2 linked regions of the Notamacropus eugenii genome follow. The protein of the gene in region 1 purifies or fractionates together with the protein of each later gene. This does not show direct contact. Links are inferred from orthologs where the notes say so. Each region holds a gene or a part of one and is shown in the gene's direction. Other genes may lie near its edges.

The links.
Region 2: the proteins of NUAK2 (region 1) and PPP1R12A purify together in Homo sapiens (affinity purification with mass spectrometry; 3 studies listed by BioGRID and IntAct, counting the BioPlex papers as one, with this or other methods). This does not show direct contact. The link is inferred for Notamacropus eugenii from reciprocal best matches to the Homo sapiens genes NUAK2 and PPP1R12A.

Annotation. Positions count from the first base shown.
Region 1 is NC_092873.1:434,279,694-434,287,658, forward strand, and holds the start of NUAK2 (NUAK family SNF1-like kinase 2), read left to right. Parts: upstream 1-4,922; 5' UTR 4,923-5,103; coding exon 5,104-5,337; intron 5,338-7,965. UniProt on the Homo sapiens protein: Stress-activated kinase involved in tolerance to glucose starvation. Induces cell-cell detachment by increasing F-actin conversion to G-actin. Expression is induced by CD95 or TNF-alpha, via NF-kappa-B.
Region 2 is NC_092874.1:259,791,034-259,798,595, reverse strand, and holds the start of PPP1R12A (protein phosphatase 1 regulatory subunit 12A), read left to right. Parts: upstream 1-4,455; 5' UTR 4,456-4,731; coding exon 4,732-4,968; intron 4,969-5,112; exon of another isoform or gene 5,113-5,263; intron 5,264-7,562. UniProt on the Homo sapiens protein: Key regulator of protein phosphatase 1C (PPP1C). Mediates binding to myosin. As part of the PPP1C complex, involved in dephosphorylation of PLK1. Capable of inhibiting HIF1AN-dependent suppression of HIF1A activity.

The DNA of each region.
Region 1 (7,965 bases):
GGTATGTCATCCCTAGCATATGATCCAGGATGTTCCCTGGAATCTGTTCCTGTGATGTAAGCAAATTCCCCTGTCAGTCATTCTCAGTCTTTTGTAGTTTCCCTTTGGGGTGGGGGTGGGGATGGACTGTTGGTTGGAGGGAAGAGTTGTGTTTCAGAGATTAACATCATTTACTTGCTGTTCTTGGCTCTTCTGTCTGCCTCCTGGGCATGACTTATATAGACTGCTTGCCAGGCCAAAGACACCCACCTTGGTCTAAACACTAATGTTCATTTCCTTCATGGGCCTGCGATAAACAGATAAGGCTTAGACAGGAATCATCAAGATACTCTGATTTGCCTTATGGGCAAGTCATAGGTCCCAAGAGGTAGTCCAGTGATTGAATATTGTTTAAACCAGAACTTAAACTACCCTTTGATAGTTTGGTGAGTGAAGCCTACTGACCCCTTCTCAGAATAATGTTTTTAAATGCATAAAATAAAATGTATAGCGTTACAACGGAAACCAATCATATTGAAATAAGTATATCATTTTCCCATCCAAGTTCATGGACTTGAATCACTGATTGAAATCTATCTAAGCCTCTTCCCCACCTTAAGAACCTTTGGTTTTTAATGGAAAGCTGGAATGGGGGAGGTGAGTTCCCTGGACTAGGGCAGAATTAATAGAAGCCAGTACACTACTCACACCTCGATCTGACTGATAAGATTCATCATCCTCAAATCTGCAGTCCTATAAATTGTAGAAGGTCATAACTGGTGGAGGCAAAGGAATGGGAATGGAGACCTTACAGAACAGTGAAGTTTAGAAACAGCTAAAGTTTAGCGCTTTAAGGAACCTTAAAAATTCCAGACCAGTGATAGGATCAGTGGGTTGATGCCACTTTGCAAGTAATGATAAAGAAATGGTGAACCACATCAAGGTGGCCAGATCAAAGGACCATAGGGGATAAAGAGTTCTCAACACTGGTCAAATTCCCTGAGAATTCTTACCTAGACAAGTTAGCTACTTCATCTAAAGAATTTCAAATCCTGTTTTGGAGTCCCTAGAGAGGAAAGGGGCTTACTCAATTCCTCCAGGGTATGGGGGCGGGTGTGGGGGGTAATGACTCCTAACAGATAGAGTGAAATCAAGGTCAGGAAAAGACCAGCAGTTCTAGGTAGGTCAGAGCAAAACTGGGATTGGAACCCCTGGTCCTCTTTGGCTACTGTGCCTTCCTCAGTATCATATTGCCTTCCTAAACCATCTTGATGGTTTGCTAAACTCAGGGATCATAGGAACATAGATTTAGAGCTAGAGGGGACCTTAGTGGCCATGAGGGGCATACTCATAAAATACTTAATCTCAAAAACAAATGAATAACTGTATGCATGACACTTCTGAGTTTAATCTGAATTATTACTATTTTTAATCACTTTCTTAAATCTAGATGATCAACAAAACAATAAATCAAGCCCAGATTAGTACCTTCTGCAAATTTCTGAGGTATAAATGCTGAAATTGAAAATTTAACCAGAGGCAGCTAGGTGTAGGACAGATTAGAGCCCCAGCCCTTGAATCAGGAGGACCTGAGTTCAAATTTGGCCTCAGATGCTTAGTAACTGTGTGATCTTGGGCAAGTCACTTAACCCCAAATGAAAGAGAGAGAGAGAGAGAGAGACAGAGAGAGAATTTGACCATTGACTGTCAAGCTCCTGGCTCTCCAAGTGACTCCAGCACATTCCTGGAGGTCATCAATTTCAACCTGCATTTTACAGATGAGGAGACTGAGGCTGAAGGATGTTAAGTGACTAGCCCAGAGTCACAGAGCTAGTAAGTAGTTGAGGCAGAATTTGATCACAGGTCTTGCTGATGCCAAGTCTATGGCTCTATATACTGGTTCACCTACCTGGTCCACGTTCCCACTGGTAAAATGGTTGAAGGCTTTATCCTGTCTCTCAGTGGAGGGGGCAGAGGGAGTCTGAGACTGAATTGCCTCCCAGGCCTGCTCTGGGGCAGGCTGTCTTCTCTTCCCTCTATCGTAAGAGCAACAAGAGCATCTGACTACAAAATGGTACCTGAGGTACCAGGATCCCCTCATTTCTGCTCATGGTGGCTCCTTCAAAAGCCATGGAGCTGACAAGGCTAACCCTGGCCCTGGTTTCTACAACCAATAACCATATCAATGACTCTGTGGTTTAAAAAATGTTTTCCTCCCTACAAACCAGAGAGGGAAGTAATGTAGGTGTTAACACCTCAATTGAGCAAGGGGAACTGAAATAAGTGACTTGTCTAAGGTCAGACAGCTTTTCTAATTCCTGAATCCTGGGTTATTTCCATTTCTGTAGGAGACATTTCTACTTCTGTAAAAGGAGCTTGGGAACAGGAAAGAAGACTGATACTCACGGGAATCAGGGGAGGACCCCTTTAGGAACCTGGTCTTCCTATAACCCTTACCCTGAAAGCACACCCCCACCCCCACCCCCCACTAACCTGTTCATAGGCCCTCATGGTTCCTGGAAATGTCAGCTGGAGATGTCATCTTGGGCTTCCACCAGCAGCTGCTGGAATCCATCTAGAGGACTGTGGTTGTCTGGGGAAAGGGGGTGAGGGGGATCCCTGTGAGGAAATAGACTAGAGATCGATGCCTCCCATCCCAATCTCTGCCCTGCCCCCACCAGATGCAAGGTTAGCAGGAATGGGAGATATCTGTGGAGTTCTTTTTTGTCTACTGGATGAAATGATTGAGTCTGTATAGAAACAAACCTTTGCATCAGGTGTGGGCTAAACTCGATAACAACATAAATTGTGCGACCTAGCTTCATCCCTTCAGACTCAGAAAATAGAAAGGACAACAGAGACTGGACATAGAAGAACTTTTCTCTCTCTTCCCTGAGCCTTCATTTTGCTTTCCTATTTATCCTATTATTCACTCTCTTTTCCTCCTTCCCTACGTCTCTCTCCCATTCTCTCTCTGACTCTCTGTCTCCTCTCCTCTCTCTCTCTCTCTCTCTGACTCTCTGTCTCCTCTCTCTCTCTCTCTCTCTGACTCTCTGTCTTCTCTCTCTCTCTCTCTCTCTCTCTCTGTCTCTCTGTCTTCTCTCTCTCTCTCTCTCTCTCTGTCTGTCTCCCTCTCTTCCCTCACTCCTAGAGACACCTGAATAGAGAACTTGGCCCAGTGGAAGAAGTACTCACTAGGCTGGGAGTCTAGAAAACTGAGTTCTAGTCTTTCTACTGCCAGAAATGACATGTGACCATCTCAGCTTGATCTAAGTGAGAACTCTAACAATTACAGTTATCTGAAAATGGAATGGGCTACCTCTTTTCACAATCTATAATGAATCCTCGAGACTTTTGAGTTTTTCAAGTGGAGGCCAATCAATTGATGCCTCATTTAAGGATGTTATAGACAAGATTTATGCTTTGGGTATGGATTGGATCAGATAATCTCTGTCATTTCTTCTGTTTTTCTATGAAAGTCACTTCACCTTTGGGGGGCCTTAGTTTCCTAATCTGTAAAAATTAAGTGCCTGGATTAGATTATCTTTGAGGTCTTTTCTGCCTTTGCTATTCTACCAATTTAAAAGAGCTGTTGTGAGGGTTGTGCTTTACAAACTATACAGAGCTATAGAAATGCAAACTACATACAGTGACGTAGTTATTTCCAGGGGAAAGGGTGAGTCCCAAAGTCATCCTACTTCAGAAAGCATTTCCCACAGTCAGTTTTTTTCTCTGATGTTTCTTGAATTGTTAAGAATCCTCAACAGAACTAAATGTCTGCTTCAATTAGAGGGTACTAATGATGTGAGGGTTTTGATCAATACATCAATTAACAAGTCTCTGTGCTTGAGTACATGCTACATACTATGTGCAAACCTCTGGACGTACAAATAATAGTGATGGGGACTAGGTTATGATTACATTAATAATAAGGAACTTCTAGATAAGAAAAACTCCTCACTAATGCAGGTAAGCATTTCAAGGGCTGCAAATGAGAGTGGCTTTACCAACATTTAACATTTATTAAGCACTTACTATGTGCCAGAGGCTAACAATACAAAGGTGAAACAGCAGTACCATTCAGGAGTTCACCATATACTAGGGTTAAACACGAGAAATATGACAGATACACAGATAAGCATAGCACAAGATAAAGGTGATCGGAGCAAATGAAAGGGGCACACCACGGTGCTTTTTGAAAATTTGTGTCTTTTAGCCGGAGGGAATCAAGGCAGACTTCAAGAAGGAGGCAGAGACTATAGTCCTAAGGATTTAAAATAAGGGTTCATCTGGGATCTGAGAATTTGTGTGCATTTTAAAATATGTCTTTCTAATCCTACGTACTTTATTGTGTGCACCCAAAAGAATTGTTCAGAGAAAGAGTGGGAGCAACCGGCTTCATCAGAATGCCAAAGCGGTCCATGACAAAAAAGGTTAATGACCTCTGGTTTAAAAGATTGATATCCCGTCCTCTCGCCTACGTCCTCCCATACAAAGTCCTAGAGCAGCTGAAGCAGAGCTGCTGACATCATGACATCATCCTACATCGCTAGGGAAAATCTTACAATGAGATCCCAAATAGAGAGAGTTGAACCCTGTCCGAGCGCCACAAACGGAGCGGTTTAACTCTATGGCTGGGAAATTCCGCAGCCCTCGAGAACCAGCAACCCTCAGCTCATTCTTATGACTTCCCCCCAAAGAATCCCTTCCACTCTCTGTCAGAGTCCTTCGTCCCCCTCCTCCCTTTCTCCATCCCTGGTTACTGAAGGCCAAGAGGGCAGGACCTTCATTGACACCTTTTGCAGACACGCTGAAAGGGGAGGAGGGAGTCTGGGGCGAAGACTGGGATGAGCCAATCGTAACGTCCCGAGTCACGTGCGGCCTGGTATCTGACCAATGGGCGGTTGAAGGCGGGGCCAGACTGCAGGGGGCTTGTAACTTTTATTGGAACTTGGAACATTGAGTCTCCGTCAGTTTCCTCGATTTGTAAGTTTCGTTCTCGGCCTCTAGGCAGCTTACACATGTGCCCCGGGCCCCTGCGCAGCTGAGCTTTCCTGGTGGCGGCTGCTGCTGCTTTTTCTCCTTGGTTCTGAGCTGCGTCTCCTGCTTCTCCTTCCTCTCTCCATGGAGGCTTTCACTTTCCCCAAACGTTCCAGCCTGGCTTCCTCTCCTTCCGTGGGGCTTGCCTTGCCTCTGGCAGACGGTCTCATCAAGTCTCCCAAGCCCCTGATGAAGAAGCAGGCGGTAAAGCGGCATCATCACAAGCACAATTTGCGGCACCGCTATGAGTTCCTGGAGACCCTGGGCAAAGGGACCTACGGAAAGGTGCAGAAAGCAAGAGAGCGATCGGGAAGACTGGTGAGTCCCGAGTACTTGGCTTTGGCCGGGAGGGGGGAGTCTATGCAGCTTTCGAAGAGCCTGAATGATGGGAAAGGGAACCGAGGGAGCGAGGGAGCCTGGCCCCAATTTAGATACCCAGAGCTTTCAGTGAAAGGGTGAGCGAGACCTCCTCATCCGTGTACTTCCTCTTGGAAAAAAAAATCCAACCATCTGGTAGTTCAGATTCGATAAGCAAGGAGAAAGGGGGATGAGAAGTGAATTCTTGAAGTACCTACATAGGTACCTATGAATATTTTCTCTCAAGGATGGTAGAGAGGAATGATGTGTTTTATTAGGGAACATCTCTGATCCCTGAGATCCACCTGTCAGCCCCTCAGCAGAGGCGGGTTGCTGGCTGCCTCTGGGGAAAAGTATGCTATTATCCCATTGTCTCTTGGTTTTTCTCTTTTCGGTTTCCATCCGGGCTCAATTTAAAGACAAACCTGCCCCCACCCCCTTTTGCGTGGAGAAAGAAAAGCAGAGATTGCAAAGGACCTTTGGGGACTGTGGATGATGAGCCAGAGGACTTCTGGGGATTGGGTTAAGCAGGAGTCTGCTTTGTGTAAACTGGTTTCTAGAAGCATTGAGAGTAGGGCTTCAGTATGCCCCTCTAAGGCTTGGGGAGAGAGGAGATCATCATAGCTCAAACTAGGTCCCTGGGATCTGAAAAAGAAGCCAGTGGTTATTTAGAGTGGGAAGTACAAAACCCCCTAAAGAAGGCATTCTATTAGGAGAAGGTTGTGGGGATTTTTTATGTTGGTTTTTTTTTTTGTTTGTTTCTTTTTTTAATGTCCTTAAAGGTCAAGGTTTACTATATTGGATCTGACCCCAGTCTCCACCCTTTACTTGGTGTTTGCTGCTTTTGTTTTTAGTTGCTGATTTGAAATGCAAAAAGTCATTCATTGGTGAAGGAGATGGCTGGGGATGGGTGGAGTTGGGGAATGGATTATGAACCAATCAATAGAATTGTGTGTGTTTTCACTTCTAATGCCTGGCACTGTCCCCAGATTCTGGCTGCCAGCTTGGAGCTGTTGGGCAATACTGTACTTAACTTTTCCCTGTTTCTGAAGTAGGAGAGCCAGGTGAGGAGGATCCGGGTTTTGAGATTGCCTGGTCTAAGCCTTTAGTCTGCTCTTGTTGGATTGAAATGAGTTTCTCATGCCCCTGCCTCCTTTCCCTCTCCTTGACCCCCAAAGAGAGGTGTATCCTCAAGGTATCAAGGACCTCAGAAGGGAGAACTAAGCAGCAACAGAATTTGGAAGTTAATGAGCAGTGCTGGGTACCAGGCCTTCTGTTCTAGAGAATTTAGGATAGCTGCCTCCCAATGATCACCACCAGATGTTTTTCTAGGGGATTGATACCAAAACTTCATACCCAAAGCTATATTCCCACCTTGAAAATAAGCTATCTAGCTATGGATAGACTCTCAATTCACAAGGCATCGACTCAGTCCCTGGGGAGAAAAGGGCACTTTCTTCAACTCTGGCGCCAACCACTTCAATCAGTCAGCAAGAATTTATATTTGGTAGTGTTTACTATATGCAGCTAGGTGGTGAAGTAGCTAGAACTTTGGGCCTAGTGTCAAAAAGATTTACTTCCTGAGTTCAAATCTGGCCTTAGACACTTGCCAGCAGTGTGACCCTCGGCAGATCTTTTAACTGTTTTCCTCAGTTTCCTCATCTGTAAAATAAGCTGGAGAAGGAAATGGCAAGCCACTCCATTTCTACAAATAGTATTTTATTTTTTCCAATTACATAGAAAGACAATTTTCGACATTCTCTGATATCTTTACCAATGGAACCCCAGATGGAGTCACCAGAGTCAGACACAACAAAACAATTTTATATGCCAGGCTTTGTGTATCTCCTCCATGAAGTCTTCCTTAATTTCCCTCCCCTATTCCCTGTTGAAATGACTGATACTATTGTGCCTGGGACTCTTAGCACCCCTTACATTTCTGAAATCAGTTATTTTCGTGTCTACATGTCTTTACCTTCCGTTAGCATCAAGGATTTAAAGCTGAAAGGAGCCTTAGACCATCTAATTCAACTTCCTCATTTTGCAGATGAAGAAACTGAGGCCCAGAAAAGTGAACTAATTTGTTCAAAGTTACCCAGATAGTGATGGCAGAGACGTTAGACTTCTTCAGAGTGAGATCTGTATCATTTCTATCTTTGTACCCAGTGCCTTGAACACAACAGATATTTAATAAATAATTTTTTTAAACCTGGCATTTGTTGAAATTCAATTCCCAGGTATTTATGCTACCTTCCAAGAAAGGCTGTCCTGAGGGGTCCCTGTCTCCACCGCCCTAGGGTTGGGTTGGTAATATAAGGATCAGTGACTTTGCTCTTACCCCCAACCAGCTTGAGAAGGCATCATCAGAAGCCAGATGAAAGGAGGGACATTACTAATGGATACTCCAGAAAGGCATCAAAGGGAAAGCAAATATTTGCACTGGATCCTTCAGCCTCCTGAGAATACTCCTGGTATCTAGATGACATTTCCTCCTGTTCTTCCCCAGGAGGAAGCTCTAGGACCTGTGCCCCCAGCCTAGAGACACTTGCCTCCTCCTAGACCTGCTGTGTTAACCCTCTTCTCTCACCC
Region 2 (7,562 bases), on another chromosome or scaffold:
AGGAATAATATTCTTGGTTTAGAGAACTTACCTACCTATTTGGGTGAGGACTGAGAGAGTTGGGCTAGAACTTAGGCATGCTACATAAAAGCATACAGTACCATACAATAAAGTGTTTGAAATATGAAGACATGGGATTAATTCTGATTCTGATACTAACTGTGATTTAGGGCAGTTTCTTAAGGAAACAAAGGCCCAAACAAGCTATTTGTAAAAAGAGTTGAACTACGTAGCAATTTTCAAGGTCTTTTCCAGGTCTAAGTGCTATAAAGGAATCATAATTAAGTTTTTTCTCTTCATCGCTGTCGAATTAGCTATCTTTTAATGTATTATGTATTAATGAAGCAAATTTCTTTTAGTAATAATAACTTATGGTTCCATCAGTATTAACACTGGGTTATCATGGAATACATTCTGAAACTGAGATTAAGAGAAAGAAAAATCTAGGTAAACCCAAACCTGTGTATGTATTGTCCACAGTTGTCTTTTGACAGGTAGTCCTCAAAAGTAGGTTCACTGTAGTTTATATTTTGTTACTCATATTTATAAGGCCTTAAAGTTTGAAAATGACTTTTCTTACAAGACTACTAGCTATATAAAAGAATTATTATCCCATTTAATAGATGAGGAAAATAAGGCTGAATGATTTTTTTTTGAGTGACTAAGTGACAAACCACAATGACACTACTAGGAAGTTGTACTCAAAAGTTGGACCTGGAAGCAGGACTCAAACTTAAGCCTCTGGTTCTTTCTGTAGTGCTCTTACTATTGTATAAGTATTTCATCTCGACTATGAATTATTTTACATCTTGTAGCAACAGTCAAAAACAAGGCATGGCCACCTCTTTATCTTGTCTCTGTTCCCAAAACAGGTATTTGGGGCTATTTTTCAAGGCTTTTATAAGAGCTATCAAATAGACCCAAATATTCTTGGAAAACAGCTATCTAAGGCTAAATGGTGACCCTTGGTTCTTCTCTGGGTTATTCTGATTGGGTTTCTTGGGGGGTGGAGAAAACAGTAGCTGACAAGAAAGGATTTTTTCCAATTGCTTTCCATAATCGAGAGCTGAGACCTTTCAAAGGTATGGCAGATGTCCTAGGCATGGCCTTTAGGGACCCTTTTACTGCTTTGTGGTGCTAACTCTAAACATGAGAAAAAATTTTGATTAAGGATTTGTATTATTGTAGTAACATAGTTTTTTAAAATTAAATATGTAATATTAAGTATGTACATTGCCCTACTAGGTGGTGGAGGCATACAAAAGACGCTGAATTCTCCTTAAACTTGTTACTTCAGCAACAAATTGCACCAGGTTACTTAAAGAGCAAAGGAACATATAAAGGGGGCACAAAACAGTGCTGTGCTAAGAACACTAGATCTGCGCTTCTAGTCATAGTTTGAAAGCTGGAATCTAACCCCTTCATTTGGCAGAAGAGGAAACTGAAGTCCAGGGAGTTTAAATGGCTTTCCTAAAGTCACAAATGGAACAAGTGGCAGAGCTGAGAGCAGACCCCAAGTCCTGTGACTCCAAATCCATCATGCTTTCCTCTATACCACACTCAGAACTGGATTAGAATCTTGGTTCTGCAGTTTTCTACACGTAAGATCATGGGACAGATTCTGGGAGAGTCTGTGTCTCACATGCCTCATTTTCCCCATCTGCGCAAGTTCCCATGACTCAAGCACATTGTTACCTTCTCTGCCTCTTGTAGTCTCAGAGAGTTGCCTAGAATACTGAGAGGTCCAGTGATTTGCCCAGGATTACAAAGTGTGTATCAGAGGCTGGAGTTGATCCCAGGTCTACATGATGCTACTGCATATGAGATAAAGTACATGTTTCTGTATGTCATAAAGACCCATATATGATATTAATTATGCAAGAAAAATAAAGGATTTTAAATGTGGATAAGACAAAATTATCCCTCAGATCCAACTCTGAGAGTCTATAAAATGCAGTGGGGAGAAATAATAATTTCAAAATGCTTTACGCACATTATCTCACTTCATTGTCATAGCTCCATGGTCTTACTGTTTCAGTGACAAGATAGGAATTTGCATTTTCCTATGTCAAGGTTCAGTAGTCTTCTTTATCGCTGGTCTAGCATGATTAGGAGAGGACCACTACTGGGTATTACTAGTGACAAAGCACCTGCACTTGAGATTTAGGATTATCCAACCTTGTTCACTTATGTCCTATTCATCCTGACCCCATTTGGGATTTTCCTGGCAAAGATACTGGAGAGGTTTGCCATTTTCTTCTCCAGCGGACTAAGGCAAAGGGAGGTTAAGTGGCTTGCCCAAAGTCACACAGCCAGTATGAGGCTGGATTTGAACACAGGTCTTCCAGACTCTAGGCCCAGCTGAGTCACCTAGTTGCTTCCTTTATTTGACTTACCTGCTGCCTTACATTAGAAAGTTTATTCAGAATGTGAATACTTCCTTATTATTACCTCCCACAATTGTTAATCTCAGCCCAATTTTTTATTTGTTTTGTATCAGTTCTCCGTTTTTAATTACCTATATTTCTCCCTCTTTGAGGGTAGGGTTCACAACGTCAAGTAAATAAAAGGCATAATGTTTTTGGTGGGGTGGGACTTGTGATTTCTCCTGAAGAAGAAACTCTTACCAGTGTAAATCAGCATCAATTCAGTAATTTAAGTTGCCTAGGGGCACTGAGGGTTGTGACTTTCCTAGGGTAAAAAGAGCCTGTTAAGTCAAAGGAGGACAAGTTGAACCCAGGTCTTTCAGAATTAAGGTTCTTGTACCTACCAAGGTACCAATTATTGTACCTACCAAGGTACAATACCTCTCAATAAATGCTTGTGGAATTGAAACCAGTGCTTATTTAGCACAATGCATGACACATAGCACTTAATGAATGTTTACTGATTGACTGAAATAGGTGAGATAGCTATAGATACAAAGCTATACGGGGGCCCATGGCGTCATCTAGTCCTCATTTGTTTCAGTGGCCAGACCACTGGGCTGAGGAGTCAAAAGCCCTGGTTTTAATCTCACCTCTGAAATCTTAGCCAATTGACTTTATTTCCTTAGGCCTAACTCATCTATTAAATGAGAAGGTTGCACTAGATGGCCTCTAAATGATCTTATAGTTCTAGATCAAATAATCTTGATCATGCCCTGATAAGTTGAGAAGGAACAATATATTTTACTTCAAGTTGGAGGCATAGTATTAGGAAAAAAAAAAGAAAAAAAAAGGCCCTAAATGAGCAACTCCAGAGACTCACCTCTGATACTTTCTAGCTGTGTGACTAAGTCAAGTCACTTTAACCTCTCTGGGCCTCAGTTTCCTCATCTGCAAAGTGGAAGGATAATACCTGTACATCCTGCACAGGCTTGCTACATTAGAACCAAATGAGATCATGGATGCCAGCACCTATATAGACCTTGAAGTATAAATACCAGGATTACAGTCAAGCTCTGAGACTATCCCTCTGAAATACACTCCATATATCACAGAGGCATGACCTTGTAAACTGAAATGTGCTTTATAAATAGTTACAGTGAGGGATCACAGTAACCACAGATTTGGAGCTGGAAGGAACCTGAGAGGTCATCCAGCTCCCCCCCCCCCCCCATTTTACAGATGAGGTAACTGAGGAACTGTGAAGTTAAATGACTGGCCCAGGGTCCCACAGTTAGGGATGGTCAGCTATGGTATCTGAGCCTAGGTCTTCCACTATAAGAATGACAACATCCAAAATTGAAATATCGATTAAAGGTTTGCAAAGTACTTTATGTAAAATGGACTTTTCTGATCCTTACGGCTTGGGGAGGCTGTTATTAAAACACCCAGGTCTTTCTTTCTCTAAGAACAACTGCTAGCTAGCATTTCTAATTTGCCTTAAAGTTATTTTACCTGCGTTAGCTCATTTGATCCAGAAAAACAATCCTGGGAGGGAGGTGCTCTAATTACCCCCATTTTACAGATGGGGAAACTGAGGCACAGAAAGGTTGGGTTATTTTGTCCTTCCTGCCCCCGCGAAAGTGGGCATTATCCCCGTTTTACAGACGAGGAAACTGAGGCCGATTAGATGGGTGGGCCAGGGTCAGTCAGGGAGGGTCCGAGGCAGGATTCGAACCTGCGTCTTCCCGACATCAGACCCAGGTCTTGGATTGAGATGTCTCCGCACAGTCCCCGACGGGCGACGGCTCACAGTCAATCCGACCCCACCTTGGCCCACAAAGACAGTCCCCGCCCCTTCCCTTCCTCCGGTTCCGGAGGCTCTCGAGGCCCCACCCTCTTCCCCTCCGAAAACCACCGCGCCCGCTCTCGGCGGTTACCCTTCTCTTCCTCCTCCTCCTCCTCCTCCTCCGTGTGGGGAGGCAGGCAGACAGAGCATGCGCAGTGGGCGAAGGGCGCCTCCCCGCTCAACTCTCGCGATGTCTCCCTACGGGAGGCGGCTGGTGACGGGTAGCGGCCTGCCCTGAGAGGGGCGGGGGCGGGGGCGGGGGCGGGGAGGGAAAGAGTGTTTGTGTCCCGGCTCGGTCCGCCCGCCAGGTGCGCGCCGCCCCAGTGCTCTGTGGGAGACCGGAAGTCGTCTCCTCCTCCCGTCTCCTCCCTGCCTCCCCACACCCTCCTCCTCCTCCTCCTCCTCCTCGTCGCTCCGGCGCGCGCCCCCGCGCCCGCTCCCCCCCTCCACCTCTCCCCCCTCCCTCCCTCCCTCCTCCCCTCGCGATAAGAAGACCCGGCGGCCGGAGAGGGGGGGATGAAGATGGCGGACGCGAAGCAGAAGCGGAACGAGCAGCTGAAGCGCTGGATCGGCTCCGAGACGGACCTCGAGCCGCCCGTGGTGAAGCGCCAGAAGACCAAGGTGAAGTTCGACGACGGCGCCGTGTTCCTGGCGGCCTGCTCCAGCGGGGACACGGACGAGGTGCTCGAGCTGCTGCACCGCGGCGCCGACATCAACTACGCCAATGTGGACGGACTCACTGCCCTGCACCAGGTCTGTCCGAGCGCCGAGGCCCGGAGCCCCGTCCCCTCCCCCCCGGCCGGCCCGCCTGCCCGGGCCTGCGACCTCCCCGGGGAGAGACCTAGGACGGACGGGAAGGACGGCGCGGGGTGGGTCCGAGGCGTGGGAGTGGAGAGGAAAGAGGGGGTGATGGGCCAGCGCTGGGGGATCCCTCTTCTCTTCGCCAGCCGACGTGGACAGCCCGGCCGAGCCCTCCAGCACTTATTAAGCGCCTACTGTGTGTTGCCTTGTAAGCTGCAGGGCGAGCGTGCTTGGAGATCCCTCGTCGGTGTGTAAAGGGGGGGCATTTAGGGATCTGTGAGACTGGGGGAGTAGTCGGTGCGGGAGCGCTGCAGAAGCGCCTACTACGTGCCCAGAAACCCTTCTGCCCCCCAATACTGTGTGGGGGAGGGGGGCCGCCCGGGGACTTGGGGGACCGGATCCCCGCGGGCCTCGGGGCGATTTCCTGCCGGTCCCCCTCCCTGACTCTGGCGCCGCACTTCTCCTTGTAGGGCTGGACGTGGAGGGGGTGGGGGGGAGACAGTGAAGGGCTCCCCCCACCCCATCCCCCGCCGGAAGGTTGAAGTGGGGAGTCTGCTACGGAGCTTTGTGCCGCAGTGCCTGGGACCTTCCGTCCCTGCTCTCCCCTCTAGGGCCGGCTGTAGCGAAACTCGCCCATCGGTGACATGGAACTGTTCTGGAGTGGGGGGGGGGGGTCGGAGATCGTCTCGGGGTGCACGTCTCGAGGCCAGGTGGGGAGAAGGAAACTGGGAACTTTGCTCAAAATGGATGCTTTGTGCATGTTAAAGTTTTATAGTGGAGTCCGATCGGGATCTCTCAGTGTTAGCCAAATAAGGAGAGACCCTGGGCGATGCAGAGATAACGTGGAGCTTTGCCTTCCCCAGGCTCGAAGTCATGGTACCGAACCGCACACGGTTCGTCAGAGGAAAGCTGATGTTTGACTGAATGGTCGGAGTGGACAGCCTTGCGCACCTCTCTGCATCTCAGACCGAAGTGGGGTGTGAAGGCTGCGGCTTTGCTCTGAGCGATACCGTGGGGGCGAAGCTGAGGGCTTGGGTTTCATGTGTGTGAGCTTGCCTCATATTTTAGGGAGGTCTCTGAGCCCTTTGCCATTGACTGCTTTCAGTCTAAGTGAAATACGTACATTTGAAGTTTTGTTTCATGGGATCAGGCAAGTCTTTGTTTACCAAGTTAATTACGTGACTTAAAACTACTCACAAAGTAGTAGGGTAAAATGCCCCTCAAAATATGGTGGAGATGTCACTGTCTTCCTCTCATGTAACCCGTTCTAGCAAAATGATAGTTGTCTGAGGTTTGTTTTATGGTTAAGCTGATTACGCTTCATGCTTCAGGTGGTCAGAATGAAAAGGCATTTTCGTAAATTGATTTCCTTTCAAATTAAGATAAAATTCTAAATATGACCAGCCCTGGCAATTTGTGTCTTTATTCTTAGGGAGAAGAGCTTCATGCCTTTATAAGTCATTCTGTGCTGTTTATTTTGTTATGAAATACGGTTTTTGAAGAGGCAAATATAGTTGGGCAGACGTCAAGACCGTGAAGGGTTGGTTTTAGTATTTTAAAATGTTTCACCTTTTCTTCATTTGTCCCTGTTATAGCTGTGACCACAGTATATTTGAATGGGAGGAGAAAAGGGGTCATTTGTGATACGTTAATGACGATATTGGTTCAAACTCCACGATTTATATTTAGTGACTTTTCAGTTCCATTTCTATAGCTACTGTTTCAGTCTCTGTCTACACAGTGTCACAGCAATCACTTTGACTTGGTTTTAAACAAGTACTCATTTTTATTTTGGAGTTAGTGAGTTGAATTTTTGATACTCTGTAAACTTTAATGTATTTTAACTAGTTTATATAATTTATCTCATCATGTAAGTAGAAAGTCCTAGTTAGAAAAAACTTTTTTTGCATAAGAACTTTGAAGTATCTGATTTTTACAGCCCTCAGACTAGTGAAGTTTTATATTTTTTAAAATATGAAAGATAATTTTTTATTTTTTGTCATGTGTTTTTCTTAATTGGTATTTCTTGTGCACTAACCTTTTTGGACACTGAGTGTACTTTGCCATTGTGGTGAGGGAAGCAGGCACTTCTCTCTTGGAAAAGTGAAAAGAGTAGAGGATCTGGAAGTTCCAAAGGAAATTTGTTTGAAACAGAGAAAGCTGTTTGAAAGATCTTTAAGAGAGCTCCGCTACCTGTGTTTTATCAGCCACTGTAGTTCCTGCTGTAAGACAGACCTAATAACAAGGATGATAAAAAAGCTAATTCAATAATTTTTTTAATACTAATCCATTAAATAAAACCTCAAATATAATTGAGCGTTTTATATTTAATAACGTGTCAGCCGGACACATCAAAACATATTACAGTGCAGAAATTCTTAATGGATTAAATATTGGTCTGTTTTAGTTTATTAGTCTCTTCAACAAAAAAAATTGCGGATTTCACTTTGATGTGGAAAATCATTAAGAATTTCCTATTCCACTGATTAATATTCATTGTTCTGACATTTTGCTTATATAATTGCACTTTAATTTTAAAAAAATTA